Linked DNA regions of Struthio camelus. The protein of the gene in region 3 interacts with the protein of the main gene of each other region in a biochemical or structural test. Links are inferred from orthologs where the notes say so. Each region holds a gene or a part of one and is shown on either strand. Other genes may lie near its edges. The genes, in order: HIF1A, NR0B2, HDAC3 and GTF2I.

Region 1 (7,767 bases), on a different chromosome or scaffold from region 3:
GATAATACCCCCCAAAACGCCAATACCTAATCAGATTGCAAAAAATACAGAGTGCTTAAGATTCCATAAGAAATCAAGTTAGATCTACGTAACTTGGGACTACATAAAAGAATGGTTTCAACAAAGCAGTACACCAGTCCACACTTTCAGTTGCTGTTATATAATTAATAAGTGAAATTAAGTCATAAGAGACAGATTTGGTCAAATTTCCATAGTTTCTGGATCCCACAGCACATAATTAGCAAGCAAAAAAACTTCACTTTACCTCTCTAACTATCAATAGCTGAATATTACCCAAATATACACGCAGATAGGGGAAAAGGAATTAAATGATCTTAACACATGCTGAAAGTTAAGGTGCGCCACATCTACAGTCAGCCAAAATTTTATCATCAAAAAACAGGACTGGAACTTTCTAAAGGTACTTTCTCTAAAAATATTCTTAACATGGACACAGTCAAACCTAAACCCTTCTAAACCAAGTCAGGCTCTTGAGCAATGCTTGAGATTTGCAGTAAGTTCTCTGATGAGCTCTTTCTTATTCTTCCTTTTTTGCTTAGCCATCTTTGCTCTACTGCACATTCACAGCCTCAGGATGAGTGTACCACAGATACAATATGGTATTTTCAATTAAAATACACTCTACAACAGAAGTAGTCAGAATATTCCTTACTACTTTATAAGAAACATTCCCAACCTTTAACTCACCCTTCAGGATGCAGAAAACACCAAATTCTCTTTCTTGAGCTCTGCCTTTAGGAAGGAAGGGATAAGCTATGCATACTGATTCTTACGTTCTAAAGAAAGCAGATTACATCCAGGATAAGGAAATTGCAAAAAAGTACCCAAGTGGGACAGAACGGTAAGTAAAAAAAAAAAAAATGCTCAAGGACAAAAAAAAAAAAACAGGAACAGAGAAAAAGCTAAGTCTCAAAACCCCTTTCTAGACCTGCCACTAAAATAGGCCAGCAGAGAAAAGGATAGAACATTCATTTCTGTTGCAACATTTTCTCCAAGGCTTCTCAGAAGTTATTACCTTTCAGTTGAAAAAACAAAGGCTACTGAATTGGTACCACCCCAGGTGCCCCACAGTATATATTTCATTAGACTAAAAGCTGCTTCTTCTCCACCCTCTACCCCACTGTAATAACTTGAAATAATCATTACAACGATACAGTCCTAGAGGTAAAGCACTCTGTATTCACAAGCCCAACACTCTGAATTCACAGTTCTAGCTCGGCACAAAGCTAAACATCCATTTTAGAAGTCAGTTACTCAGTCTCACATCCAACACAATTTATATACTTTACTAATTTAACCTACTCAGATGACCCTTTGATACAAGAGCAGAGATAACCAATCTCAAAAAATGGTATCAATATCAACATAAACAAACACTGTCTGCTGCAGATGGCGATTACACCAATTAATCCCTCCACAAAGCACATTGGTGGAACATCCAGTCTAAAAATCTGATCACCTAAATACTCCAACTCTGTAACTTTGCAATGCAACAAAAGCTTTTAAGGCTTTTATTTCCCCCTCTTTCTAATTTGAGCTAACAATCCTTGGTGAATTATTCATACTTCTCAACTTACATTGTTCAGCAGCCCTCTTTCTGCCCCCCCACTCCCTTTTTTTTTTAAAGCTTAAGCTTCCAAGGCTCTAAAAAAACCTTCCCTTTCTGAACAAAACCAGAACATAAAATAAAAATCAAAGTTTCAGTGGCCATCTTAAAAAATAAAAATAAAAAATGCCTAACAACTTATTTTTAGGAACAAGTACAGAAACCCATAGTCGTTGTCAGCAAATGACCATTAAAACACGTTCAGACTTTCCACAGCATTTGAACCAAATTGATAAATCTTCCTTTTGCCACTCTGGCCTTAACCAACACCCCCCCCCCCTTTTTTTTTTTTAAGGCCCTCTTATAATTACTTATGCAAGCACATTTAATTCACCATCCTACAGAAAACAAGACAAACCAGAACACCGAAGAACTAATCGGGATGCGTTTATTGCGGGGGCCACCGAGGGTCCTTAGCACATCCAAGGACTCGGGCGTGCCCCCTTCACCTCCAGGCCGGCCCGAAGGCCCGGACCCGCAGCAGAGCCGCCGGCCGGACCGCGCCGGGCCGGGCCGGGCCGGGATTTCGTTGCAGTCGGTGAGAGCCGCCAGCCCGCCCGCCCGCTTCGGCCCGGCAGCGGAACGAGGAGCCGCACACAATGCGCCGAGCGTAACTGCCGCCGGGTTCGGCGCAGCGGCCGAACAACGAGCAGCCGGAGGCACAAAGCCGCGCGCCTCGCCGGGGCCCAGCAGGCGCCCCCAGGGCGAACCTCGGGCGGCCAGACCCCCCCCCCCCGTCCCCGGGGCCGGCGCCCGCCGCCCGCGCCGCTCCCCCCGCCGACAAAATGGCGACGTGGACAGCGAGGAGAAGGAGGAATGAAAGAGTGAGGCGCTCTCCGCGGAGACGGGCTGAAGAACGGGGAGAGGGGGAACGCGGGGCGGCCGGGGGAGGGGGGAGAGAGAGAAAAGGGGGAAGAAGAGGGGAAACGGGGGACGGCGGGAGCGATAACAGCGCGGGGAGGAGGGGGGGTGCCCGGGGGGCAGAAGAAAGGGGAGGATGGAGAGCGGCGAGGGGAGGCGGCTCCGCGCGAAGGATGGCGAGAGGGGGACGGGCAGAGCCGGGCCGCGGGGCCGCGGGCCGGGCTGGCCGCCGGGCGGGCAGGCGGCGGCGGCCGGTTACCTTTTCTTGTCGCTGACGCCGCCGGGGCTCTCCATGGCGGCCGCCTTGGCTTCTCCTCCCGCTCGCTCGCTCGCTCGCTCGCTCTCACAACGCGAGGCGGGCGGCTCCAATGGCCGCCGAGGGGCGCGGAGATGGCGGCGCGGCCGGGAAGGGGCCGGGTCTGGGGCGGCGCGGGCTCAAAGCATCGGGGCAGGCTCCGGGGCCTGCGGCGAGGTGCGGCCGGCGCGGGGCGCAGCGGCGGCGGCTGTGGGAGGCGGGCGGCGCGGGGCTCGCCGAAACGGAGACGGCGGCGGCGGGGGCTGGGGGCGGGCTCGGCCGGCCCGGACCCAGCGCTGCGCCAGTGAGGAGCCGCGGCGGAGCCCGGCCCCCCTGGGCCGGCGGGGTCAGCTGAGCAAACAGCTGGGCGGGGGCCGGCGCTTCACGTGGAGGGCTGTGTGCGGGGCGGGGCGGGCCGCGCCGGCCTCCATCATGTCGCCCCGGCCTCCCCTCCGAGCTCCCCGCCTCGCCGCGGCCCCGGGCGCAGGCGGGCTCTTCCCCGCGCCGCCCTCGCCGGCTGCCGCTGGCCCCGCTCGTTTTAACCTCACGAGGGAAGTCTGCCTGTTGTGTCGTATCCTTCCCCCTCCTCCCCCCCGCTCCCACCCCGGCGCCGTCGCCGCGGGGGTGTGTTTTGGCGTTTCCAACGCGGTTCTGGCCGTGCCCTACCTACCGACCTTCCCCCCCGCCCAGGGAGCCCCCAAACCGGGGCTGCCCCCGCTGTGCCCCGCACCGGCCCGCTCGGGCCAGCCGCCAGCTCCCCGCGCGGCGTGCACGGCGGGCCTGCGTCTCCTCCGCCGCGTTTCCTACGCGCCGCGACCAGCAGTCACTGGTGGGACTCGCTAATCCGCCCTATAGCGCACGCACGCACAAAACCGCCCCAAATCACGCTGCGGTCCCTGCCGTTGTACTGGCACGGTCGCACGTTTATTGCCCTATCCACCTCTTTGTAGCGAGAAACCTGTCCAGTTCCTAACTCCTTCCCGTTTCCCGAAGGTTTGCTAGCAACGCGACCAGGCCGTATCAAGCGAATGCGTTGAAAGACGCAGATCAATTAAAGAGAATAAGCACATCGTGGGGTGGGCCAGAGGGACAGATACAACTTAAAAAAAAAAAAAGAGAAGAAGAAGAAAAAAGCCAAGCGGCCTTCCCGGCTGGGAGGCTGAACAGGCCGTGCGGAGCACCTATATGCCTCTATCCGAAGCTGAGAAAGCGCACGCTACTTCAACAGGCACCAAAAAGGATGCAGGGTTTAGGGGGGTTTTTTGTTTTTTTTTTGTTTTGTTTTTTTTACAAGGCACTTACTTACAATCAAAGTGAGACAAACACAGAAGCCCCGGCCGGAATACAATGCCACAGCTTTGCTGTCAGAGAGATTAACGTAGGAAAAGCTTCATGGAGGAGCCTTACATAAACACGGCGATAGAGACACTCGCAAGTAACCTCCAGGACAGACCGAGGCAGCGCACCGGCGAGCCGCAGCTGGGCCGGCGCGGAGGGAGGAAAGTCACGGCCAGAGTCCACGCATTTAAAATTAGAGGCTCCCCAGCAACATTAGCTATGGTGCCTTAGTCATCTACTTTTCCGGTTCTGTGGAGTAGGTGAAGGTGCAGTTCAAAGTGAAGGGACTCTAGAGCTTGGAGATTACTTCATGTCTGGTAGGCTTCCTCCAACAAGAAGTTAAGTGATCCTAAAGAGGTGAACCATACGACGCTGTTCAGTTCATAGCGCAAAGGTAATGATACCCTTTAAAAATAAGCTTTGACAGGCACAGGTAACAACCCTGCACTGCTGTATGCATTTATAATGTTGTAAGAAACACCTGCAGGGCAAAACGATGTCGTTTCAGGACTGTATCTCGCTAACATTTCTGCAGTGGGGTCTGAACTTTCACATAACAAACAGTCATTTTTGCATACAACCGTGGGGGTTTTTTGTAATTTCTTTTGAAGAAAAGGCAATGACCGTGACATTTAATAGAAATCACAGAGAGTTTCTATGTGAAATGAATTGCTCCTGCCTGCCGCAATCTGATACACAGAAGAGACACATGTGCTACAGACTCCCTTTATCCCTTTAAGGTTTCGCATGCAAATACAGACAAAGGCCAGCTTTGCTTAGCTTATGAGAAGTGACAACACGATAGCCCGTGGCAGTGTGGCTGTAGACTGCTGATATTTTTGTTGTTCTGCTCAGTGGAGCCTCAAGAAGAGAAATAATCAGAGCAAGACTCAAACTCAGGTCTCCTGCATAAACACCAAGAAGCCCCGCACAAGCGCTCGTGGACACATCGTATTTGAAAATGAGGTACAGCCGGTTCAAGCGCAGGGACGCAGTCGCTCGCGCGCAGCAACCTCGCGCTGTTTTAGCACGGTCGCAAAGCCACCGTGACGGCCCCTAAGGAATTCTCCTGGTGAAACGGCGGATCTCCTGGCAGGTGCCGAAATCTCACTCCCAGCTCGGTGCCTCCCCCGACCCCCCTGCAGAGCCCCTGCCCCAGGGACGCAGCGGGGGAGTTTCGGCAGCGAAGTGCTGCTAATAGAGGTGCTTGCTGCACCGCAGAGGGGGCCGGCAGGTCATGCTGAGCAGCCTTTGCAGCGTCTCTAACCCGCGCATGAGGAGGAAGGGGTCCGCACACAGGAGCGAAAGCCTCCGTTGCACTTCCACTGCAGTCCTTCCACTAACCTCTTATCCCTTCATCTTCTAAAGGGAGCTAAGTGCGAGCACCGATGTGATCCCAGGCCAGGACAGCCTAGCGGTAAAGCTACAGACCTCAGCTCGTCCTACCCAATGGGCTCTTATTTTCAATCCTCCAACCACTCATTTTATTAACAATTAATTTTGGTGCCCATAAATAGTGACATCTTAGGATTCACTTGTACACCTTTATTGCCATTATCTAAATTTACATACTGCGCAATACACTGAAACAGTTCCTCATTGAATAGTCTCATGCTAGGTTGTGATCATTTTAATTAATACAGGCACGAAGGCTCTGGAAGTGTTAGCAATCCCAGAGTAAAAGACGCTACAGAAAAATCTCAGTATACAAATTACTAACACTGCTCAAGTTAATTGTTCAAGGCTTTCGAGCTTCCCAGCATGAACTGGCTGAGGAGCTGTGAGTAAGCATTGTGGTCTCCTTACTAGGCACATTTCTCTCATACCGAACATGGTTACTCCAACCCGTAATAAAGAATTCTGCATCAAAAACCAGTAGTGTTTCAGGATGATGTTACTGGAAATTCATTCCACGATTAAACATTTTGTACTGTAGCAGCTCTGGAGAGATATTAAGCAAAAGTTCCCTTCCCTTCACCCTCCCCTTACTGAACTTTTGAGTCACTCCTCTAATATTCTGCATATATTTTCTTTCCCGTCTTGCCAGTGCCTGACAAGAGAAACTTATTACAGTAGGTAATGCCTTAGTCACTTTGTTTGACCTTTATTGGTGTACTAAGTTCATACTCTAACTTACGTTAAGACAACTTCCTGTATTAAATAGTGTTTGCATATGACTAATTGGGACAAATTCACAGCCAGCAAGACGATGAGTCAGCAAAAGGCTCAGCGAAGACAGCAGAAGGAATCCAGCAGCAGCACAGATCCACATGAAGATGCGAGATACGCTACTGCCCATGGCTTCAGATCTGTCTGCTGATAGGTGAAACACTGCCAGGACGGGCACGGTACACATTAGCTGTCTCAGGACCCAATCCCATCCCCATCAAAATTCAGTGGCAAAACTTCTGCTAACTTCAGTGGGAATAAGACCAGGGCCTGCATTTTTCTCAAGCATCTTCTCTGCTAAGAGCACTTCAAGTTTCTGAGCTTGGACTTACCAGGTGGAGGATTTTAGCAAGAAGTAAGGACTCCTTCCATTTAAGTCACTTGGTTTGGTGACTCCTGGGACGCCTCTGCAACAACCCCCTGCAGCACTGGCTTCCCTGGGCTTTTACTTGGCAGTACAACCCATTAAGATTAGGAAATTAATATTTATTGATTCAGTAAATAAGCACAGTTCTAAAGGGGAAGGGAAGCGCACAAACCAATCTAATGATATTTGACCACAAAACATGCCATACGTACAGCACCCCTGTAGAATCATTTACTTGAAAAAAAAAGTGCCCTCAAGTCTCTATGGCTGTGCAGACCCTTGGCTCCTTTACGGACTGCCAATAATCTAATGTGGCTTCTTATTTGTAACAATGCAAGAACCTGAGATCTCTGATCATCAACTCATTTCACAATAGAAAGGTGGTTTATTGTTGTATCCATCATTATTGATTGAATTCCAACTAAAATGCTTGGTTTGAACCAAACCAGTGGTCACCAAAACAGTGAAAAGTGAATGCCGCTGTTTCTCAAATGTGAAATTTTGTCTGAAACAAGAGTATGTGATGAGAGACAATATCTCTCTTTGGCAACTGTGATTTCCACTGGTCTCTTCTGATTTGTAGAGCTTCTCCTCTGCTTCTTAGGCCAGGATCTTGTTTCTTCTTCTTCTCCCCTTTGCAAAATCAAAATAATGTTTTTAAACGATGAGCACCTTTTAAAGCTTGCTTGTCAGAGTGCATTTAGGCATTTGGAAAGACTCTAGTCACCTTGATTTCTGCACAGAAAAGTGCCCCAGTGGAGGTAACACATTCTGCAGTATAGTAAAAGCACTAAGTCCAATTCAGCATAATTAGATTTGAGGGAAGGATTTCCTACCCAGGAAGGACTTCACCAGCTGAAAGCATGAGGCGTGCAGGCACTCGGTGGGCTACGTCATGCAGGTTCGCCAGTCAGCTACATCCTGCCAACCCTGGCCGCTCCTCAACAGAGATTGCCAATGGTATGGTGGTTTTCCTGATGTGGACCGAAAGGAGGATGAAGTTTTTAAATTATCCTCAGAGAAGTAGATGAGTTTGTGGTCAAAGACCTGAATGAAGCCTTGGGGATCCACAGTTGTTAATGCTAGCCTGCAACTAGGCACAATCTTCTC
Region 2 (7,742 bases), on a different chromosome or scaffold from region 3:
TGAACTATAAACCCCAACTCACTTTCTACTGAGAAATATGAGCACATTTGTTAGTGATACTGTGTCGGGACTTTTCCCTTCATTTTCACCCTAGTCTTTTGATTGAAAAGCTAGACGGGGGAAAAATCAAAATATTTCAGTGTAACCCTGCCTAGTTCTTCCTCATAGAGGGAGCATATTTCCATTAAGACAACAGAAATATAAAGATTTTCCATTTGTTCTGTACTTTGTGCAATCTCAGCAGGTGCCTAATCCAGCCATTTGACAGCCACTCAGTATGTCTAGGAAAGCTGGTGGCAAGGAGACACGGGACCCCAGTTTCTGTACCCGCTTCTGGTTTAAGGTGATGCATGTCTTAATCTCTGAGAGTTGCAAGGCTTCAAAAACTGGTTTCAAAGCACTCCGAGTTCTCCAGAGGGAGGGCATCCAAGTTTGGCACGCTACTGCAATAGCACGCTCTCCAGATGAAGTACAACAGACCATTCCCACATCTGGGCTTTTCCCAGGCATGAGATGGAGATTCCTCTCAAATTAAGATTTAGATTACGAATTAACACAAGGACGAGACCTTTCCCCTAAAGAGATTATAAAGGTCCTTGAAACGTTGCTACTACTGCAACAACAAATGGCAGGGAGCAGAAATAGCTAGGCATTAGTTTAACACCACTGTCACGACTTACAGGAGAAATATTTGAAAAGCAAGGTATTATTTGGGAGCCAGTTCCTACATAAATCTTGACCCCAAAGATATCTCCAACTTCTCATCTTGTTGTGACTATGAAAACCAAAGTCTCAAGGTCTTTGATGCAAACGGCTGTACTGCTCAGAGGGAAAGCTGCGTACTCGGGCACGAAGCCAGAGCAATTACCCCGTGGTCAATAATGCCACCAGAACTGTGCAAAGCCGCACGTATGAGATCTAAGTTCTGCTCCACGAGACAATATAGATAAAATCTGAGAACAGAAATTAAAGCGGAGCAAACTTTCAGATAGAGGTTTCAGGCACTGGCTTACGTATATCCCAGGAACTTCAGTGAGGAATTAGCACTTCTCCAAAGTAGCTCAGAACAGCCAGGCCTCATGTAGTTTTGGAACCAACCACCAATCATTTACGGCTTTGCTTTTAAAAAGGAAAGCAGGATTTATTTACACAACTTGAGTCCAGCGTCTCCTAGGATACAGAAATCAAGACATGCATCTCCCAGCCTCTGTTCCCAACTGCAGGACAATCCACAGTGAGCAAAGCTATTCAAATCGCCCAAGTGTAACAGTGTGCGCGCACTGCATTTCCCTCAACATGTTACATCACTCCCTCATTCTACACCAGGAAGGCTTCTGAAATGGCACCACATAAAACATACTGCCTTTCCCACCACCCTCTCCTCTTTTCACATCTTTGATATCAAAGGATGAGCAGGATGGGGGAGAATAAATTCTTCAATTTTTGTTGCGGTTATTACGGTGTCAGAGGCAAGTTAAGAGACTCTTTTGTATTCATCACCTTTTCAGAGGACCACAGAGCATTTTAACAGACACCAGCCAAGGACGCTAACACTTTTCTTCTACAGATAGCACAATAAGACACGGATTTGCAAGAACAGTAGCCTGGACCTCCAACAGCATCTGTCAGTGCTAATCTCCGAAATTCTACTAAAACATAATGCTGCTTAGGTTTTCATTCCCTAGGAGTACAGAGTCCCCAGGAAATCTGGAAGATTTGCTCACTAGTCCAAGGAAAACAGCAGTAGGCGTCATCCTATTCTTACTTTGAAACCATCCACCTTCCCATCCCTTCGCTGCTTTAGTTCTTCCATTTTACAGACTAGACAGAGTATCTTATACGCAGCACTGGCAATCATCTTTGCTAACATTCAACATGGCAGCAGTTCCTGCTTTGCTGTCTGGAGAGTTCCAGTAATCCAGAAAGTTCTTTCAGAAGGCATGTATTCCAGCATTTTTCCTCAATCCTACACCACGATCCAAACTGACTATATGAGCTACAAGTATCTGACCCCCCAGTTAATATCAGCTTCCTTGTAAGACCTGATGTTATCACCTACAGTTTTAAAGCCAGGAGGGCAGGTGAGGGGCATATAGTAAACACACAGCCTCTAGACAACAGAGTCACAAAGTAGTCAGCATTCTGAAAGAAAAGGTAACTGTTGATATACTGGTAAGCACAAGCAAGAAACCTTCAGAAAGTCTCGCTAACTGATGTTTCAATGCTCTGGTCCTTATTTCACTACAAAGAAACTAGTTAGTTTTACAATTCTTGTGCTGGGTCAGGAATACCTGCTGGATATCAAAGACATTCAGTTCTCTCAGGCCAACAAGGTAGCCTCGATCCTCGGGCTTGCTCTCTGGCGTGTTCAGTCCGTACAAATACTGCAGCACAGAGACAAAGGGGCAGCAGCATGTGCAGGGATGTGGACTTTGTAATTTTTCTGAGATGAACAAACAAGGTAACCTGGGGTTATCAACACTGCAGTGTCTGTCACCGTTAAGTCAGAGCGTCTGGCAGATTTGCTTTTCAAACAGGCCTTTGGCCAGAGCGTGGCAAAAACTTGCACCATTGGTATCATTTGAACAAGCCATCATGCCTCACCTCAGATAGGGGTAGCTTATTATTACCTTGTTTCAGAGGTGTATTTCACCAACATCACAGACTGCTGGTTCCCAGGTGTATTGGGAGGAATGCTTTGAGTTATTCAGGAAGGGAAGTCTTAGCATGGCACAGAGAGTATGTAAGTTAGAATGACTTTTTTTTTTTTTTTTAAATACCTTTTCTGCTACTCCATCTTCGCCACCAGTGAAGAAATCAGTTTTCCGCCTCAGGAAACTAAAGAATGTGTTCACAAGCTGTTTGAGGAAACAGAGGGTAGGGGTTGGGGTAAAGAGGAAAAAAAAAAGAGCAATGAGACCAGATCACTCCCAGTCATCCCCTGTCTCCTCAGTAGTCTTTGTTCTTCTTTTTACTTCCTGCCTATGTCTGTGTTAGGATCATATTAGAGTCAAACCCATTACCGTTTCCCAGCAAAAAAACTGAGGACTTTTGTGGAGATCCAGCTTACGGATTCCCAATTTTCAGAAGATGCATTTTTGTGTTTTACATGAAGAAAGGGGAAGCAGTTCATTCTCAGGCCATCTTCCCTTGGAGATGCATCAACTTTGAAATCCCAAGCTGTTACTTAGACCCATCTGACGCTGGAACTTCTTTTTTAATTAAATATACACATACATGTATATAGATACACGTGTATACTATAAATTCACTTCTTTGGTTGTCTAAGCCCTCAGAGCTTGCAAACCCACCTTCCCCAGCTCTGTGACTTGTTTACTTTTACAAAAGACTAACACGTTTGCTACCCACTAACAGCCTAGAAGCAACGGATGGTGGTCTGCGCCCTGCAAGACATGCGACAAGACAGAACTGCCTGTCAGGTGTCCCTGATGAAGTAGAAGTTGTGAACTGACATACTAGAATACACCTGCAAGAAATAATCTCAATGAGTATGGTTTCTCTTTCTTCTTTTCCAGGAATAATGTCTTTGTCAGTATTTCAATCAGAAGCTTCAGTCCAGTAGGAAGAGCTGTTATTAACATCATTTCCCCAGACCACCTGTGGGTGGGGGATGTTCCCCAGAACTGTAGTAATCTAGCTGCATGTCATCACCTAGACCCTCTGAGCAGCCTCCAGCAAGAGTCACATCAGAAAATGTGAGTGCAAAGAGTATCAGTAATGCAGCTACAGTGAGGGAAGGGAAACTGTATTCATGCTTAGGCATACTTCTGCCTATTTTATGACTGCAGCCAACACATCAGGTCTCACAAGGCAGCTCTCAGACGGTCATGCTGAGAGTGTGACAGCTCGACTTGATCCTCCCCATGCAGTGTCTAGTTTCGCTGCAATACGGAGAGGGATCTGCCTTTCCACACGCCTCTAACGCCTCTAGCAAGCCAACGGTGTTAACTTGAACGAGTGCGAACGACCCACCCATAAAACGCCCCAGCTGCTCAGGGGCGACGAGACGGCCGCGGGAGGCGGCAGGAAGCCGAGGGGCATGGCCGGGGCCCCCCAGGCCCTCATCAGCACGGCGCTAATTAGCCCTTCCTCCGCGCCTCCTGGGCTCCAGGTCCCCCCGGGGGCGCCGAGAGCAGGAACCCCCAACGACGGGGCGCTGGGACACACGTGCCCACCGGGGAGGGCCCGGGGCTCCCGGAGACCCTCGTCCCAGGGAGGCCGGGCCGCGGCTGCCTCCGCCCCCTGCCTCGGGGCCCGCCCCTCCCCCACTCACTCCGCCCCCCGCCCCGGGAACACGTAAAAGCTCCCGCCACGGCCCGGGCTCGGGTCCAGGCCCGGCGGTGCTACCTCGCGCACGCCGCCCTGGTGCTGCTGGGCCATGGCCAGGAGCATGCCGTCGAAGCGGTCCTCCTGCTCCGCCGCCTCCTCCGCGCTCAGCCCCATGGTGATGGTGGTGGTAGGGCCCGCCGCCGCCAACGGCCCCCTCAGCCCCTCACGCCGGCGACCGGAAGCGGAAGCGACGCGAGCGGAAGGCGGTGCGCGAGGGCCCGCGCCGCCCGCCAATCCTGAGCGCCCGGCCGCCCCGCTCTCTTCGCGGATTGGCCTTTGCGGCGTCCAATGTGCCGCGGGGAGGCGGGACCGGCGGGGCGCGGGGTTTGGTTGCTATAGCGACGGCCGGTCTGGGCCTTTCCAGAAAGCTCGGCGAGGCCGCGTGTCCCCGGGGGGGGGGTAGGGGTCAAAGGGCAGAGGGCACGTCACGGGAGGGGGGGCTACCTCCCCGAGGTCAAAGGGCAGAGGTCACGGCCGGGGGGGGGGCCAGCTGCTGGGATCCACCCCCCCCCCCGCGGCCTCGCCCTGAGGGGGCTCCAGCCTTGGGTCTGAACCCGCCTGGTTTTGGCGTGACTGCTGCGGGCAGGCAGCCGCGCTGCCGCTCGGCTCTGTCCCGGCGCTGGTTCCGCCAGGGCTGCGAGGAAACGTCCCAGCGCTTTCTTGACCGGGGCGCGGAGGCTTAAAATTCAGCCGGTGTGAAGGGAGGTGACGGAAAGCAGCCTTGTGGAGCGCTGCCGTTGAGCTGCAAAGAAGCCGGCCCGGTCGCCCTCGGGGATCTGCTTATCTGCAGGGACCGAAGGATCCACCTTCTCTTGTGTTCGCTGCTCTCTTCCGTGCACGGCCCCTGCCTGCCTCTTGGCTCTTTTAGGTCTTCCTGCAACTCTTCCCACGCCCCCCTACGTAGGATTTCCCTTCCATTTACAGCACCGGTCTTGTAGCCAGCCTTTCTTCGGGATGAGGTGCCTTAACCCTAAGGAGGGTGAGGTCTTCTGACTCACTGGCTCCTTCCTGCTATAGAAATTCCTCACTTTGTTGCTGGACCCCTTGAAATAAGTAACCAGGTGCGGCCAGACTTTTCTAGACCAACTTCTGTTCATCAAGTGATAAAACCATCTGGCAATTCAAGGCAAAAATGTAAGAACCTGACCCTGCCCTGCCTCGTATTTCCTTTGTGACACAAGATCCTTTGGGCCCTGCCTCAGATTGAATACTATAATCTTTTTAGTTCACTGGGTTTCTCGTCCTTAACTGTGACAACATGAGTCCCTTGTCAACAAGGTTGGGCAAACATCTGCTGATAAAACGACTTCCAGGTTGCTCTTCCCAAGGCCGGAGCATGCAGGCCGTTTGCACCAGGGTCCTCGCTCCAGACGAGTGCCGTGTGTGTGTGTGTGTGTGTGAACTTCTTGGCAGTGACACCTGCCGTATAGTGCTGCCTGATTACACGGCGGGGCCTTGGTGCCATGGTACAGGCTGGGTTAATGACTTTGTTTAAACTGTTTGGGTAATCGTGATAAGGCCGCCCAACCTGCTGTCCTGTCCCCGCGCTGCTGGCCCCGCTGGCACTTCATTGAGAAAACGGCCATTGACGCCATGTGGAGAACTCGTTTGTTCCAGCCAATCAGTCCAGGGATGGCTGTTTTTTTTTTTTTTAATGAGGACCGCTTAATCACAGAGCGGTCAAGGCTATGAAGGGGTGTTTCACTTGTGACTGAGCCTTATAAGAAGAGCTGGTTAAAACAGCTATGGGCTGGCAGAGCTGGGAGGAGAGACTGTGCCCGGGGAGCTTTGATTGCCGCAGGGGGTTGTGACAGTGCCCTTCTGCTTTACGGATCTCCCTCCTCTGCTGCAGCAGGAGCTGAATTTTGCTGAGGATCCAGGCACCCAGCTCGGCTATGACAACCAGCAGCATGGACGTGGACTGCAAGAGGTGCCAGTGCCACAGCGAGGACAACCGCACCGCCATCCTCTACACCCTCCTCAGCCAGAACTTGAACCACAGCCGGGTCAGCTGCAGTCCAGCCCACCAGCGCTGCCTGTGCCACCAGCGCCGGACCGTCTGCCTCCGCACGCCCCACGTCACCTGCCAGGCGGCCTCCAATGTGCTGGTGAAAACCGTCAGCTTCATGAAAAACCTGCCTTCCTTCCAACTGCTGCCCCGAGAGGACCAGCTCTTGCTGCTGGACAGCTGCTGGGTCCCCCTCTTCCTCCTGGGGCTGGTCCAGGAGATGGTGACATTTGAGGTGATGGAGACCCCAGCCCCCAGCATGCTCAAGAAGATCCTTCTCGATGGCCAAAGCAAACAGCAGGAGCCCGAGCGGATGCAACCCACGCTGGCCGCGGTGCAGCGGCTGCAGTGCTGCCTGAACACCTTTTGGAGACTGGATCTGAGCCCAAAGGAGTATGCCTACCTGAAGGGCGCCATTCTCTTTAATCCTGGTGAGTGTCGAAGCCTCACAGCCCTATCTGCTGGTGGGGAGAGAAGGCCCCGCAAGCATGAGCATCTAGAAACACATTTCGTGGCTTGGACTGATTCAGAGCACGGGCAGGAGGAGCTGTGCACGGGAGAGGAGAAGAGGGCTGGTTATCTTATCATGGATACCTAGTATTACATAATGCCGTTTACTGTTGGGAAGTGGGGAGGACAGATGTTGAATGTAGTGCTAAAATCCAGGGACCTTGCCTAGCCTGCAGACAGTAAGGACCCCAGGACTTATTTTGCCAAGCATGGGTTTACCCTGTTAACTATTTTTGCTCCCTCAAAGCAAAGCTGCTACTCAGCAGCCCCAAAGTGGCTACGTCTTAGTAGTGCTGCGTCCATTTAATTAATGTGGCACTCGGAGTCCCTTCAGAGGTAGTTGAAGGGATGGGAATAGTAGAAACTGGAGCTGCTGTGCAGCCTCCTTCTTCACTGGCTTTTTCCTCCTTTCTCTCCATAGATGTCCCGGGGCTGAGGGCCTCCCTGTACATTGAGAGCCTCCAGCGGGAAGCCCAGAGAGCGCTGCAAGAAGTCCTGCGGCCCCTGCACCCCGAGGACCAGGGTCGCTTTGCCCGCATCTTGCTGATTGCCTCCACCTTGAAATCTATCCCTCCTGCACTCATCACAGACCTCTTCTTCAGGCCAGTCATCGGCAATGCAGATATTGTCGAGCTCATCACAGAAATGCTGTATGAAATAACCAGCAGGCAGCTGGCTCCTTCGTCGCGCATGGCGCTCTGAGGGACTGCGCTCGGCTGTCAACCCCACAGACGTCGCCTGCTCCCCGAGTCAAGTGTCAGAGGGCGGCAAAGTGAATCTGGGAGCAAGGTTTAGTGAGGCAGGTGCTCTGTACTTTGCAGGGAACTGGCTTTGTGTGTGTTTCGTTAAGCCTGGGGAACAGCTCCAGAGGCTG
Region 3 (7,909 bases):
GGGAATGGACAACAAAATGAACAAAGATTCTAGCGAAAGGGGCCTGGTTCAATTCCGCCTGTCCCAAGTGAAGTAACATATTTCAAATTAGGGGTACCACAGATTTGTAGCCATATTCTGCTATACTCAAATTAGTTCCTTTCTTGAAAGATAAGAAGAATTAAGTTTGCTTTTTGGTAATCACTACCTGCTAGTCACATTTTATCAGGTTTACACAAGTTAGACTTCAGGAAAATAAAATCTTTCTAATCGTAATGAGAGCAAAGCACTGAACTAGATTGTGTGAGCTGGTTGGGCAATAAAGACTTTGAAGACCAGGCTGGACAAACATTTAGCAGGGATGAGATAGGATTAGTGAATCCTGCCTTATAGCATCAAGATGAACTAGCTAACCCCTTGGGTTTTCTTTTCAGCTTTACTTCTCTATGATAACATGTAATCCCACAATGGTCTCTGGGTCCTTCCTAGAAGCAGCTATGGACACTGACGTTTCACTCGTTTCTCACCGTCACAGCTTTAGCTCCAGGTATGGTACTGTAAGCACAAGCTTTAACAAGGTGCCAACAGCTAATGATGACCTCATGTTAGTGAAAATGGCCAAGACCGCTTGGAGCCCTGCCTGTAACAACTCTGTTACCTGCTGTGCCACAAACGGGAGCTGAACAAGAAGCAGCAACATGAGAAAGCCCTGGAGAACTTACTAACATAGCCCAAACCTTAAAATAGAGGCTACTATTTGGAGTTAGTGGCAAAAGTGAGCCTTGAAAATTAGGATAGAGCATGGATCTCTAACACGTTTCCTGTCTGCCCAGGGGTAAATAGCTCCCTCCAACGGCTGTTTGGCCACAGCTGCCTCCCACAGCCGTGTTTCTGCAGGGGTAGGGATGAGGGTCCCACATGCCCTGCCAGAGCCTTGCTGCCCCCGGAGAAGCGATGCTTACGATCATCTTCTTGTAGAGCCCGTAGTGCAGGACTAGGCTGTGGGTCAGTGCCAGGCGATGCGGCTTCATGGGGTGCCCTGCTCCTGGAAGGGAAACAACGTGAGGAGTCACAGACCTGCACCCCTTGAGCCACTTTTCTGCCAGGGGGTGGAGGGACTAAGGCCCGTGAGCCATCCCTCTATGCTGGGCCTGGTGGGGGAGAAGGAAGGGCACCAGCTCCCTGAGCATGAATCAGTGTGGGGGGTATACCAGCCCCCCAGGCTGGGGGTATACTGGCATGCTAGGCTGGGATGGGGAGAAACATGGGGAGAACTGATCCTCCAAGACAAGATTTAGGAGAGGGAGGGGACCCTAAGACCCTCTAAGCCAGGGATGGGGAAGGGAGAGATGCACCGGCCCTCTGACTGATAGAGGGGTAGTTCTGACCCCCAAGCAGGGATGAGGAGTGTACTAGCCCTCAGAATGGGGAGAAGGAGGGTTGCACCAGCCCCCCGAGCTAGGATCAGGGTGGCAGGAGGATAAAGGCTCTCCAAGGGGGAATCTAAAGGGACAGAGAAGCTGTACCAGTCCCCTGACTGGGATGTGTGTGTGTGTGTGTGGGGGGAGGGGTTGTACCAGTCCCCTGACGGGGATGTGTGTTGGGGGGGTAGTTTTACCAGTACCCTGACCGGGATGTGTGTGTGTGGGGGGGGGTTGTACCAGTCCCCTGAGTGGGATGTGTGTGTGTGGGGGGGGGTTGTACCAGTCCCCTGAGTGGGATGTGTGTGGGGGGGGGGGGCTGTACCAGTCCCCTGACCGGGATGTGTGTGTGTGTGGGGGGGGTTGTACCAGTCCCCTGAGTGGGATGTGTGTGTGTGGGGGGGGGGTTGTACCAGTCCCCTGAGTGGGATGTGTGTGTGTGTGGGGGGGTTGTACCAGTCCCCTGACCAGGATGTGTGTGTGTGGGGGAGGGGTTGTACCAGTCCCCTGAGTGGGATGTGTGTGTGGGGGGGGGTTGTACCAGTCCCCTGACTGGGATGTGTGTGTGTGGGGGGGGGTTGTACCAGTCCCCTGACTGGGATGTGTGTGTGTGTGGGGGGGTTGTACCAGTCCCCTGAGTGGGATGTGTGTGTGTGGGGGGGTTGTACCAGTCCCCTGACCGGGATGTGTGTGTGTGGGGGGGTTGTACCAGTCCCCTGACCGGGATGTGTGTGTGTGTGTGGGGGGGGGGGGTTGTACCAGTCCCCTGACCGGGATGTGTGTGTGTGTGTGGGGGGGGGGAGTTTTACCAGTCCCCTGACCGGGATGTGTGTGTGTGTGTGTGGGGGGGGGGAGTTTTACCAGTCCCCTGACCGGGATGTGTGTGTGTGGGGGGGGGGGAGTTTTACCAGTCCCCTGACCGGGATAGTGTGTGTGTGTGGGGGGGGTTGTACCAGTCCCCTGACCGGGATGTGTGTGTGTGGGGGGGGGGTTGTACCAGTCCCCTGACCGGGATGTGTGTGTGTGTGGGGGGGGTTGTACCAGTCCCCTGACCGGGATGTGTGTGTGTGTGGGGGGGGTTGTACCAGTCCCCTGACCGGGATGTGTGTGTGGGGGGGGGGGGTTGTACCAGTCCCCTGAGTGGGATGGGGGGGGTGTCGCACCGGCCCCTGACCAGGGGCGTTGTACCGGCCGTTGGACCAGAATGTGCGTGTGCGGGGGGGTGTGGGGGTGTTGTGCCGACCCGCTGACCAGGCTGTGCCCGGCGGGAGCGCCGTACCGGCGGCTGACCGGGAAGGGGGGGCGCTGGCCCCCGAGCCGGGACCGGGACCGGGGGCGGGGGGGGGGGGGCACCGGCCCCGAGCAGCCCCGGCCCCTCCCGCCGGGTCCCTGCCCGCTCCTCAGGGCCCACCGCCGCCCCCGGCCCGGCCCCGCGCCCCGCCCTGCCCTCACCGTAGTGGAAGTTGCCCACGTCCGGGTCGTAGAAATAGGCCACAGTCTTCGCCATGGCGGAGAGGCCGGGACCGCCGCGCGCGGGCGCACGCGCGCGCCGACGTCATCGCGCCGCGACCGGTCGCGGCCCGAGCCCGCCCACCGCCGCCGCGCGCGGGAGCCGCCGCGCCGGGGCGGGGCCTGAGGGGAGGGCGGGGCTCGCCGAGCCCTGCCGGGCCTTGGGGGCGGGGCCCGGTGTGCGCAGCCGCGGTCGTGCCCCTGAGCCCCGGCTGCCCCGTTGCGTGGGAGCGGCCCTCGCTGCTCCCCCCCCGCCCCGGCGGCCCCCAGTCCCCCTCAGCTGCCCCCTAGTTACCCCAGCTTCCCTAGTCCCCCCCAGCTGCCCCTAATCACCCCTCAGCTGCCCGCCAGTCCCCCCCAACTGCTCCCCAGCCCCCCCGGCCTCCCCAGTCCCCCCCAGCTGCCCCCCAGTCCCCTAGGTTCCCCAGTCCCCCCCAGCTGCCCCTAATCACCCCTCAGCTGCCCCCCAGTCCCCTAGGTTCCCCAGTCCCCCCCAGCTGCCCCTAATCACCCCTCAGCTGCCCCCCAGTCCCCTAGGTTCCCCAGTCCCCCCCAGCTGCCCCTAATCACCCCTCAGCTGCCCCCCAGTCCCCTAGGTTCCCCAGTCCCCCCCAGCTGCCCCTAATCACCCCTCAGCTGCCCCCCAGTCCCCTAGGTTCCCCAGTCCCCCCTCAGCTGCCCCCCAGTCCCCCCCAGCTTTCCCCCAGTCCCCTAACTTCCCCAGTCCCCCCCAGCTGCCCCCAGCGACCCCCCCCGGTCACCCCACGCCGGGCTCCCTGGCTGCCCGGGGCTCGGCCCCCTGCCTCCGAGGTGCCGGCGGGACGTGGCGGGCCGCAGGCAGGCCCGGGGCGCTGGTGCCGGCCCTGCTGCCGTCGAGGACAGCCGGCGGCTGCCCGCGCTTTCCCCGAGCGGGAGCCCGGGGGGCCGGGGCTGCCCGCCCGCCCCTGCCATGGACGGGGCGCGAGGGCTCGGGGTGGCAGCCCGGCGGCGGCGGGGCTCAGCCCTTCGCTGGGGGGGTCCAGGGGCCGCGCGCCGCGCCGAACGGGGGGCGCTAGCGGGCCGGGGGCTGCCGGCGTGGCGGGGACGTGGCCGAGCCAACCTCAAACGTCCCACCCCGGCGCGGCACAGCCGGGAAAAGCCCGCAAGAAATGGGTCCTCCTGACCTCTGGCAGCGTTCAGAAATAATCAGCCCGGGTTGGCAGCGACTGGGGACAGGGAGGCACCTCGAGGCAGGCAGGGCAGCCGGAGAACAAAAGCTACGGGGAAAATTGAAGTGTATAAAAAAAACAGCGACCAGGAAAGGGGAAAAACCCCTAAACCTCCCCTGGAGAACAGGCAGGGTACACGGACACCTGCCCCAGGAGCAGGAGACCCTGGGTGGGTGAAGGAGGTGGCAAAAAACGTGTTATCACTGGAAAGAAGAAAAGAGGAAAGCGACGTGCGGCGTTTCCCAGCGGGTCAGAAAAGGGATTAGCAAGAGTGTGAAACTGGCCTTCTGTGGGGCCGGCGAAGGGCGACCTTCCTCCGGCTCCCGTGGCGGGGACGTCCCCGGAGCCCGCAGAGAGCTGGCCGCAGGAGGAGAGGGAGCAGGGGCTGCGGGAAAGGACCGACTTTCCACAGCTGCTGTGGGAAAGGACTGACGGAGAGGAACATCCCGAGAGAGAAATTAGAAGAAAAAGGGTGGCCTCTCGCTGGGGAGCACAAGAAGCAGCTTCAGATGGCGCTGATGGTTTGCAGACAGTCGCTGTCGCTGCGGCGATAGCCCTGCGCTGGAGACGGGATGCCTGGCTCTTGCAATGTAGTCCTCGCTTTGCTTCAAAGCTTTCTGATGCTTCTCTATTTTAAATTTCTGATGAGGCAGTCCCATTTTTCCAGGGCTAACACCACTGGAAAGGAAGACACAGGGAAACGCAACGGGCAGGAAGAGCCTGGGAGACCTAAAGTAGACGAAAGACTAGCCAGGAATTTTGCAACAGCTTTATTTTTGCAGCTAAACCACAGACATGACAAACAAAACATCCTCCCACGAACCCAACAACAGAAACTACTTTTCTAGGTCAAGTTCAACCTCACTGAGAGCAGAAGAGTTGAGGTCAGCAGGGAATCGGTCCTGCAGGTTTCCTGTGCAGCTGGGAAAATCTGCCCTCGTGGATCCCACTGGCAAGAGGTTGGAGATGAAGGATGCTGCGTTTGAGACATGATGGTCACGGACACCTGCAGTATAATAGGTCATGGCAGCTTCTGTAGGGTATCAGAGAGGAACAGGGCAAATGGGCAGCCCCAAAATTGGGGCTCCCTGCGGGCATGGTAAGAGGAGCAGATTCAGAATAGAGAGCACTACGGATTTGTACCGGGAGATTCCCCAGCTTCTCAGCAAAAGCATGTTCTACCTGGGTAATAAACATGCAGAAGGGAAATTGGTTGGCTTGTAGTAGCTCTTTCCCCCATGCCACTTGGGGCTGCATGTGGCAGCAGGCCTCGTGCAGACGGTACCCGACATGCACCAGACACAGCGTGCATTTCAGGGCCCAGGAGCCTAGTGTAGCCCCAAGTCAAATAAATGTGGACTTTAGTGGGCTAGATCTAAGCAGCAAGGATGTAGCAACAAATGATTCAAGTCAGCGGCGCTCTGCTCCCCGGCTGGGTTTCCACTCCAGCTGACGTCTCACCGATGGCTGATCAGTCAGCATGACGGGCTGTTTGCAGATCAGAAAGGTGCAGCGACCAGATAACAACCCCACGGGTTTGTAGAGCTACGTAAACGGCTCGGCTGAGCCACAGACCCGCCTGGCTATGGGAAAGGAGCAAATAGGTAAGAAATGCGTTCCTTCCTTGAGTATATTTTGCTTGCATGGAGACTTTGCTAGCTGAATTCACTTTCTGAAAATCAGTAACTGTTCAGGGCATTTTGACAGGTATTGGAGCACTGCAAAGAAGTCATAGGAGAAGGATATTTTTAGATACTCTTTGTGTGCAAATAGCAAAAATACGTTGCATTTTAAAGGCCATTAGCTTGCTGGGCACATTAGAAAGTCTTAAATGGTTTTAAGATTCAGGGTAATGTTTTAGGAAATGCAATTTAGGCATAGAATTTGCACAGAAATAGTGGCAATTTCCATGCTGAGCATCATGGTAGAGACCCCACAAGGAGCCTGTCCACAGGAGTTTCAGAGCCTAGAAATCTGCCCTGTTTTGTTAACTGCCACGTGGACAATCAATACGGCCAGAGCGGATGATCCACAAAATGGGTGCATTGGCATTGTTTGTGGTATGACGTGTATTATAATCACTGTAGAGAAGCCGTGATAAAAGAGCAGAAAAGCAGCAATATGGTGATAAATTGGGACTGCAGCTTGTGGGATGGTTTGTTGCATGGCGCGATGGAGCAGCGTCTCTCTGGGGAGCTGGTCACCCGAGGGGACGATGCATGTGGCTCATGCTCTCCATCTCCCTCCCTCCCCCCCTCCCTCCCCCTCCCCCAGTAACTTTCAAACCTGATGGCTTAAAATTTTAAATTTGAAATTGCTTCTGGGCAATTTCACAAGAGGGACAGAAGCCTCAAAGATCCTGAGGTTCCTCCAGGATTTATATATGCACCTGCCAGGACAGTCCACGTGAGTGACTTGGGGAGGAAAGGCAGGGGGGATCTCAGCGGTGAGTGCAGCAGGCAGGCAGCAAACAGGCAGCTGCCTGCCCGGGAGCTGTTGCTGAATTGCTGTTGGCTCCAGCGCTGTCTGATCTCGTGCTCTGTCTTAACTACTGGGGTCACAGAGGATGGGGGGAAGGAGCTGAGGCTGTTGCAGGAGTAGGTGGAAGGACAGGGGAGAGCAAGGACACAAATCCAAGGCAAAGCAGACTCTGGGCATCCTGCGACTGGTGGCACCGAGTCTTTGCTTCGTTATTTGTATTCCCGAGTGCCCAGTACAATGCGCTGCAGCCGGTGCGGCTCAAGACCCCCAGGAGGAGGAGGAAGGCAATCGACTGAGATAACGGAGCTAAGGAGCTCATTGCTTGTCCTGGTTCAACCTCCTACACCCCAGGCAGAGCCAGGATATGTCCCAGGACAGGCTGCTGTGCCTTCCTCCTTCTCCCCATCATGTGCCTCCTTGGTTTTGGAAATGCTTAGACAGCTGAGGCAGCAGGAGAATGGAAATCTTGTCTTGCAGGAGGAGGTTAAGTGAACTGGGCTTGTTTAGCCTGGCAAAAATGAAGGCTGAAAGGGGATAGGATTGCCATGCAGAAATACATCGGGTGGGCGGAAACACAAGAGAGGAGAAAGAATGATTTATTCTAAAGGACAGCGTGGGCACGAGAACAAATGGGAAAAAAGCTTACCATGACTACATTACCCTAGGGCTTAGGAGAAAGTCCAAACTGCAAGGTCCTTGGCCCAGTGTCTCTTCAGAGAAGCGTGAACTTCTTCTGAGAAGAAGAAGGCAAGGCGTGAACTGCTTCTGAGATCTTGATCAGCGGAGACTCATGTGATGTTGTAGTTTGTGGCAGCTCGCTAGACTGTGGTCAGGAGACTTCTCCTATCCTGTGTCGCCAGCAACGCGTGGCAGGATCAGGCCCAAAAGGTCTCCCACTGCCCGTGGTCTTTTCTTTCCGTACTGGGACTATATTATGGCCGTGGCCTGTCTTCCAGCCAGGATAACAGACAGAAGAATGGCACGTATGATGTGCTGTAACCTGGTGAAGTCATGGGGATAAAAGAGAATCTTGGGCTCCTGAGTGTTACTTCCATGAATCGCCTGACCGCTTGTGGATAGGAACGAGGGCTCTCACCACCGCATAGATGGCTGCAAGGGGCATCTAGTCTGAATGCGTTGTGGGTTGCCTCAGCAGCGGGCAAGAACAAATGTATGCCAACACTTCCCTTTGCTCACCTCTCTTCCCCATCCACATGGGCCAGTTCAGCTCTGAGGGTCTTTGAGATGTAAGAGGTTCAGCAGTTGTGTTATTTCTGCCCTCCTAACTTTGACTGTGTTCCTGATAGCTTC
Region 4 (7,822 bases), on a different chromosome or scaffold from region 3:
GTCCGGAGCACGGCGGGGAGGAAGGAGGGGGAAATAAAATCCCTCGCTGGGATGACAAAGCTTCACTGGCAACATCCCAATCTAATTTCCTCCTAATAGCAAAAAAAAGATTTTACCTACCTAAGTTAGTTTGAGGAACTGGCTGAACCCATGAGGCAGAAGCACTGCTGGCTTCTGCGTTACCTGGCGATATTTGTTCTCTAGCGGAATTAATTTGGCGTGTGCCCGTGCTAGACCTGAAGTATCAGGTTTCGTGTTTGATCTCTTTGTACTTTTTGCTGTCTCGGCCTCTGTTGCAACGCCGGACCGCATCCTCGGCGCCGGGCTTGGCTGGAGGGGTACCAGGAGCGGGTGGCGGGATGCTGGCACTTCTCCTGCTCTGCCATCTTGTGCACAACAGTCTCGGCTTTCATTTTAGAAACGCTCACTGCCTGGCTGTCACGGCTGGAGGAAGATTTGGGAAACACAAGGTGATGCAGCAATGTCCGTGAGAGCCTGTAAGTGCAGCATTCATTTTGAGATACGAATAATTGCTCAGCAGCCACCGATACTTTCAGTGCCCGTATTAGCTGCTGTGCTCATCAAAGCATCTTATTGCAGATTTGCCAAGTGTTTTCAAAGAGGCAACTTCTTTTGTGCTATAAATAAATGCATTGAGGAGAGTAGCCATGACCTATCACTGACGCCTATCATTTTGGATAGTGTGAAGTTTTGAGTTTGTTTTTTTTTTTAATCCTGATATTTGGAACAATGCATATTTACTAACGCTGTAATCCTGTATCACGTGAGGTGAATTATTTTTAAATGCTTCTTTGTTCTCTAGTGCTTTTACTATCCAAATTCTTGTCCTGTACAGGCGTTTGCCAGCCTTATTACGAGTACCACGTTCAAAGTAAAAATAAAGGATGTCTTTATTTACTTTTTAACAGAGGAAAAGCCTAGTGAAAGAAAACTGCAGAGGAATCTAGACAACTGGAACAAAGGAAAAATTGATAAAGGAGCGTGAAATAGGCTTATTTGGAGGTCTGCTCTGGAAAGACGTGGGTTGCATAGTCCATCAATGCACAGACTTATTTAGTCCATCATCGCTAACGTTCTCTGATACAAAGAGTACTTTGCTCCTGGGGTATAGCAGAGGTACACTGTTTGCAGAGCTGAAATTTAAACATAAGTTTGGGGAAGGGAAGAGTTTATATCTACATATAAAAGAATCAGTGTACGTCAGGGAACTGTGAACTCCCATGCTCTGAGGCTCTACTAGATTTGGACATGGCTTCCAGACATTGAAGTTTAATTTCTGCACAAAATGTAAAACACAATATAGTTCTGCAGTGTTGTTTTTTTTCCTAAGAGGTTGGGGCTTCCTCCCCCACTTCCTCTCTATTCAAAGGTTGTGCAGTGATTCCTGAAACTAAACCACTTAGAGAAAGAGATGGCAAAACACCAAGTAAAGGCCGGCAAACTGAGGCAAGTATCCTGGGCTGCACAAAGATAAGGTAATACAAGGAGAAAAGAGTTAGGCTCTGATCCAACCGCCCTGCCCCACACACGCAGGAAGTTTTTCAGGAGAAGAGGTGACTGCTTGGAAAAGCAGGTCCATGATGATCAGTGAAAGATTGGCTGCTTTCTACTTGCTATCATTGCCTTCAGGCATAAATCCCCTTCACAAATTTTTAAGGACTCCAATAGTTTCAGTTGGCATTTGCTAGGGTTTTAGGACTCTTAGATGTTAGATGTTTAGATGTAAGCTGTCATGAATCTTTAGATTTACCCACAGAAACTTCAAATATGAGTTGTTTGAAATCCCGTACGCTATGTTTAGCTGGAGGTTAAATTTATAACTCATTGCATGTATTGCAGCAAAACCTTCTGATAAAGACAGCCTAAAACTTCTTAGTTCTAAAGAGAATAATACATGTTTCTGGGGATGAAAGAGAATATTTTCCAAAACTAATGAGTAAGTGAAAAAATTGTATGCATTTGTTTCAATTTGTTTTCAGAAGGAGAGTATGAACTTGAAATGTAATTTGTCTTTTTTAATGATGATAAAAATAACTCTGAAGTCTACTCCTCTTTTTCAATGTTTGTAGTTTTACAGTCCAGCTTCCTTGTTTAAGAGAAGTGTTTTGCTTGCCTTGTAGCTGTGTGAAAATCTTGTCCAATCTGTAGTTGAAGCCCAGCTGGTTAAGTAGTAGAGGGAAAAGTGAAACGATACAAAATACTTTAACGCAAGGAACTTAGGTGAAAGTATTTTCCTCCAGAAATTGCTCCTTGACTTTTAAACCTAGAAAGAACATCTGGATTAGCTAGTCTGATGTTAAATGTAACAATCTATTCAGGAATCTGCTGCTAAAATTCCATGGAGGCTATGCAGAAAGTCGAGTGTCTTTTTCAGAAAGAAGCTGCTTAGATTTCCAAGCTTTTAAGTGATGGAGAAAATGGTAATGTGCATGTTGCAGTTGTTAATTACTCTAGCTACTAAAAACATACAAGCTACTTCTAGTCTGAGCGTTGATTTACAACAGCCAGTGGCTGGAAGTGGATGTCTCTGTTGGAGTTAGAAGCCTTAAGGAACTAATTTTTCAGTTAGTCATCTTGTAACCACAATGGGTAAACATTATTCTGAATAAAGCATGACTTAAGTTAACTCTCATTATGTATCTTTTTTTTTCCTAAACAGTAACCAGTTCCATAGCTCATGTGGCTGGGTCAGGTGGTGGAGAAGGATATGGAGAAGTGGGAAGAATCCTCTCCCAAACAAACAGCAAATTTCTACTCCTCAGAGGACCCACATGGGAGCAAATGAGCCATGGCAACTATGGACTTGCCAGCAGGAATCAGATGCAGCATATGACTCTCATTATAACTCATGACACGATGCTGCGCATCAAAAACATATCAGCCCCGCAACCAGGAGCAGCCAATACCTGTGGGTTAAGGGTCGAGGCACAGCCCCTGAACAAAGTCCTGGCAACGATTTTGGGATTTTGAGAACCGGCATATTTACTTAGAAAATAGTTGTGGCAGTTTAGGAAGTTGTGGTCCCCACTTATGATAGTCCTGCATCAGAGGTTATGCCTTTCTCTGCAGATGATCAGGAGAAAGGAATCACACACACGCTGCAGGGCAAAATCTTCCGGGTTAATTTAAGGTGGTGATGAAAGTGAGTTTCATGCTAGGCACTGCTGAATGCTTGTATTTTCTTTCCCGCTATTTAAATCGAGCAGTTAGGATGTCCAGCAGAAAACTGGTAAGGAACCACTGATAGTGCCACAATGTCTTAAACTGCCCCAGCTATGCCGGGTTTGTGGGTAGGCATTTGTTTTGCACAAAGTCTATTGCCTTAACGGTGATGGTATGGAAACTGACATTCAACATTACCATAAACAGCGGACACTTGTAACTTTTCCTGCAGAGATACTTTTGCAGCAGATAGTTTCTGAGGGTTAGGTTAGATTCTGAGTTTTATTCCCCATTTTTATTTGTCCCTCTTTATTGTAAGTAGGAGGATGCTAAATGCTTTCAGTTGAGCCTTTTTCAATTCCTTTTAAAAATGAAGTTTACTTGAAATCGTAATGTTTTGTGGTTCCTCTTGACCAACTGTAAACAAATCGTTAACGTTCCCAAAATAGAGTTAATGGTTTTATATACGTTGTAACAGTGCAAATAAAATGAATAAACACAATCAAAGCTAAAACAGGAATCTAAACAAAATTTTGACATTTATCAAAACAATAGTTTAATATTGGGTGGGTTTTTTGCTATTTTTAATAGCATACAGCTTTCTGATTCAGAACAAAATTTCAAATACAGCATTTCCCTTTGAAAGGAAACTTGATTTTCCATCCAAAGTTACCCCATCAAACCTAAATTCCCAGGCAAATAAAAGTGATGTCAGCTAAAACATTTGCCTGGTTATGAATGACCTATAAAAATAGATGCTATCAGTCATGCTTCGCACCTTTGGGGAAAAGTGCTAGCATAACTTGCAGCAATGGAAAAATTATTTTTGTGTTTAGAGTTTATTCTAACCAAAGCCAGGCTTCACACTTGAAGGGAAATTGTTGTTGCCAGTGTTGGTTCTCGAGAGAACTGTGTTTGGGAGCGATTTTTTTTATATTACACTTGGCTGATTTTTGCAGTAGTCAATAGAGGGAATGAACGTTATGGGGCAACAGCACTTGGGCTACTCAAGGCTCCTGCTACACGGAGCAGCTTGGGCTCAGACTCGAGCAGTAAGATACAGCAGCGCAGGCTGGCAAGCAGCTGTTTATCCATAAAGCTGGAGACATTTTGGGAGACGGAGGGGGCCGCCCGGCCGAGCTGCCCTCCGGGAGGCGGTCGCTGCTACGTCGCAGGGCTGAACCCCCGGGGGCTGAACCCGCTCCCCCGCCGGGCACGGCTGCGCCTCAGCTGGCCGAGCAGCGCCGCCGTCAGTGGCACAAACCCGCCGCCGCCTGGGGCCGGGCCCGAGGCAACGAGGCAGGGAAATGGCCTCCGCCGAGGCCCAGCGGCGCCAGGCCCCTTCCTCCCTCCGCGGGGGAGGCAGCGGCCGGGCCCCTCCGCCGGAGAGGCGGGGGGTCGGGGGAGGCGGCGGGCGGCCCCGCTGCGTGGCCGAGGGCGGCGGCGGCGGCGGCGGCTCCCCGCTTCCCCGCGCACGGCCATCTTCCGCCCAGGCCCCCTTCGCCCGCGCCCGCCCGAGAGACCTGCGCCGCTCTCGCCGCGCTCCCCTGCCTGGCGCACGGCTCGGGCCGCCTCCGCCTCCCCTTCCCGCGCAGGGCACGACGGGAGCTGTAGTCCGCCGCCCTCCCCGCCGCCCCGCCGCAGCGCGGCGCGGCCGCCGCTGCCGGACTACGGCTCCCGGCAGGCACCGCGAGGAGGGGAGGGCGCGTGCGCAGTTGGGGCTCCTCGAACAAAAAAACCTCCCCCCCGCTTCCCTCCCCCGTGAGCGGTGCTGGGTTCAGGTTGAGAGACTGCGAGGGGGAAAAGGGGGCCGCCGTGCGTCGGCCGGGCCCATCCCAGCGCCTCGCCTCGCCCGGCGCCCGATGAGCCGCTGAGAGGCCGCGGGGCGCGAGGGGAAAGCGGCTTCTGCGAGCGGCTCCGCCGCGCTCGGCCTCCCTCTCAGCCCGGCGGCGGCGGCGCCTTCGGGCCAGCAGGACGCGGGCTGTCCGCTCCCGGCAGCGGGTGAGTGGGAGAGCAGGCGGGGCGGGGGGCTGTTGTGCCGCGTCCCCTCCAGGCGCGGCTCCCGGGAGCGCGGAGAGGGGCCCGGGCGGGGCGGGGTGGGGTGGGGGCATACATCTGCCCCGGGCTCTCCCTCCTCCTCCTCCTCCGCCCCTCGCGGTCCGGGGCGGGTGTTGCTGTCTCTCCGGCCCTTCCCTGCCACTTCGGGTGAGGTGCTGCGGGGGGGGGGGGGGCGGTGGCAGCACCCCCTTCCCTCAGTCCTGCTGCCGGGGGCGGAGCCCCTCGGGCTCCCCCGGGTCGCGCCTCGCCCCGCCCCCGGCGGGCCCCGACCCCCCCCCCGCGCCCCCAGCCGTTGGGAGGACGGGGCGCTACCACGGTGCTGCCGCCTCCCATTGGCTGGAGGGGGGGCGCGCACGTGCGGTGTCCTGGCGCGCGGCGGCGGCGATTGGGTGCGGGTGGGATGGGGCGGGGCGGAGTATGCGAATGGGGCGGGGGGGGCAGGACCCCCCCCCCCGGGAGCGCTGGGGGCGGGGGTCGCTGGGGCAGCAGGCCTCGCTGGGGAGCAGCCCGGCCTCCCTGAGCGGGGCTCAGGCTTCTCCTCTCTTGCCTGGAGCTGGGCTGGTCTGAGTTGTTCCTTTGGACAAGCTCTGAAAAGTATCGAAGGGTCAGATGCTTTCACTGTTAATGCCAGTCGCAGCTGGGATTGGAAGCGCGGAGTGTGCTGACCTGTTTGTTGTAATAGCTCTTTATCCTCTAGCTTCTGACTGTAGCCTTTCAAATGACGTTGCTTAGGGGAGGAAAAAAAGTGTATTTGTGCATGTGAGTCCATGGATGAAAGTTGAGCCCCCTCCCCTGGGAAAGCACACGCTATTTAGGCTATGTGGAGAGAAGTAGTACCATCATATAAGGTAGGAAGTGCAGATAGTATCTAGAGGGTTCCTCCCCACCCCCCTTAAACTCTTGAGCTGTTTAGCTTTTTGCCTTCTCTATGCAAGGCAGCTTAACTGTGAATTCAGTCTAGCGCTTAAGTTTCACCTTACAGATGGCAAATCTACATTCAAGTAAATTGTCAAGGGGAGCAGCTCCCCAGGGAAAAAATATTAGGACAGGAGAGCTCTGCTAGGAGACCTGAGAGTTCACTTCTGGCAGCTGAAGTGTTTGAGGCAAAGTCTCTCTGTGTGCAGCAGAGTAGCCCGCAGCAAGGATTTCCATAGCTGGCCGTGAAGAACTGGTACTGAAGTCTCTCAACCTGATGTCTGAGGGGGATCAATATATAGGTCACACCTGTCTGAGCTGAACTAAAAGTTTTTGTGCAAAGGTGTGTGGTTCACATGTTTGCTAAAAACTGATTGAATTTTTTGTTTGCATGGTGTTAAAACACATCTGGCTGCTTAGTGTTGATTTGCTCTTTGTGAGAACCCTGGAGGAATTAAAGGTATTTTCAGTTTTCCCTTGAACTGTTGGAGCCTTTTTTTCCCTGTGAACATTACAATATGACGTAGAAGTTTGAAGGACTGTCTTGTGCTGGTGAGGACAAAAATTTCTCATGCTGCAAAAGGTGCCAGAAACCATTTTGTTATGATGAGATAAAGAGTGGTAGAGTTTAGACTAATTTGTTTCTCAAATATTATATGTTAGTGTTGATGGACACAAAGAACTAAACTAATAATTATTAACACGATCATCATGTTGACTAAGTAAATATAATTACAGTGGTAAAGGCAGAAATTACCAGGTGGTTGGGACTACTGTGATTAATATTTCATTTTGTTTACATGGTTTAACTATAATTCATGAATACGTGGAAGCTGCCATAGGACACTCTGCATACTTAAAAAATAAGTGGATTTGTTCTCTGAGTCTGTCTGGCTCTAATATAGGAAAGAAGTTCTATCTTAATGGCTAATGTCTTCTTAATTACTCCAAATTAGGTGATGCATCCACTTTTACATAATTGCCTAGTGAGGTATATACTTACATATTGAATTTTAATTGTATCTAAAATTTTGTAATTTTGAAGTTTGTACATATCAGAACATCTAGAAATAGTGAAAATCAGGTGTAAGTGTCTCTTTGCAAACATGATTATGCAGGCTTATGAATGAGAGAAATCAGAGGTGCTTTTAAAGCAACTGTTGTCTGAGTTGCATTTTACTTTTGTAATGCTTCTTAAGGGTAGCAAAGATAGGAATCATCTAACCTGGCTGAAAGTCATTGCACGTTAGTAAGTGTCATAAGAATACCTAGCAGAATGGGAACTAATTCTTATTTTTTTTCTTTTTAAATGAGTCTTGGAGCTATATCATGAACCATATCACTCCCCCTTCCCCCCTCCTCCAAGCAATATGCTGCTGTTCTAGTGTAGTTTTATGCAATTTTTGCGTTACTGGGTGTGCTGAGCACCAGGTGTCTCCTTTAGGATCTTTGGACGTTAGGGGCCCTTGTTCCTTCCCTGTTGCCTTTGGTTACTAACCTTCTGCTTGGCTGCCCTAGGAGAAAAAAATGAAAGTTTCAATCTCTGAACACAACAGCAGGGATTTAGGGCAGTGTATTGGTTTACAGGAAGATCATATTTCTGTGACCGTCATGATTCTATGAATTGTTTCATTAATTTCATCAGGACGCGGTATTGAAAGTAACA

Evidence for each region.
Region 1: the proteins of HDAC3 (region 3) and HIF1A form a complex in vitro, tested with the Homo sapiens proteins (2 studies listed by BioGRID). The link is inferred for Struthio camelus from reciprocal best matches to the Homo sapiens genes HDAC3 and HIF1A.
Region 2: the proteins of HDAC3 (region 3) and NR0B2 form a complex in vitro, tested with the Homo sapiens proteins (2 studies listed by BioGRID). The link is inferred for Struthio camelus from reciprocal best matches to the Homo sapiens genes HDAC3 and NR0B2.
Region 4: the proteins of HDAC3 (region 3) and GTF2I form a complex in vitro, tested with the Homo sapiens proteins (2 studies listed by BioGRID). The link is inferred for Struthio camelus from reciprocal best matches to the Homo sapiens genes HDAC3 and GTF2I.

Annotation. Positions count from the first base shown.
Region 1 is NC_090946.1:76,628,074-76,635,840, forward strand, and holds the start of HIF1A (hypoxia-inducible factor 1-alpha), read right to left. Parts: upstream 3,011-7,767; 5' UTR 2,783-3,010; coding exon 2,748-2,782; intron 2,452-2,747; exon of another isoform or gene 2,152-2,451; intron 1,059-2,151; exon of another isoform or gene 709-1,058; intron 1-708.
Region 2 is NC_090964.1:6,805,165-6,812,906, forward strand, and holds the start of NR0B2 (nuclear receptor subfamily 0 group B member 2), read left to right. Parts: upstream 1-4,734; 5' UTR 4,735-6,245; coding exon 6,246-6,789; intron 6,790-7,289; coding exon 7,290-7,570; 3' UTR 7,571-7,742. Other genes in the region: nuclear migration protein nudC, read right to left, coding at 2,781-2,858, 4,369-4,464. UniProt on the Homo sapiens protein: Transcriptional regulator that acts as a negative regulator of receptor-dependent signaling pathways. Specifically inhibits transactivation of the nuclear receptor with which it interacts.
Region 3 is NC_090954.1:22,011,231-22,019,139, reverse strand, and holds the start of HDAC3 (histone deacetylase 3), read right to left. Parts: upstream 3,002-7,909; 5' UTR 2,908-3,001; coding exon 2,853-2,907; intron 1,025-2,852; coding exon 942-1,024; intron 1-941. UniProt on the Homo sapiens protein: Histone deacetylase that catalyzes the deacetylation of lysine residues on the N-terminal part of the core histones (H2A, H2B, H3 and H4), and some other non-histone substrates.
Region 4 is NC_090957.1:12,519,362-12,527,183, reverse strand, and holds the start of GTF2I (general transcription factor II-I), read left to right. Parts: upstream 1-4,820; 5' UTR 4,821-5,184; intron 5,185-7,822. UniProt on the Homo sapiens protein: Interacts with the basal transcription machinery by coordinating the formation of a multiprotein complex at the C-FOS promoter, and linking specific signal responsive activator complexes.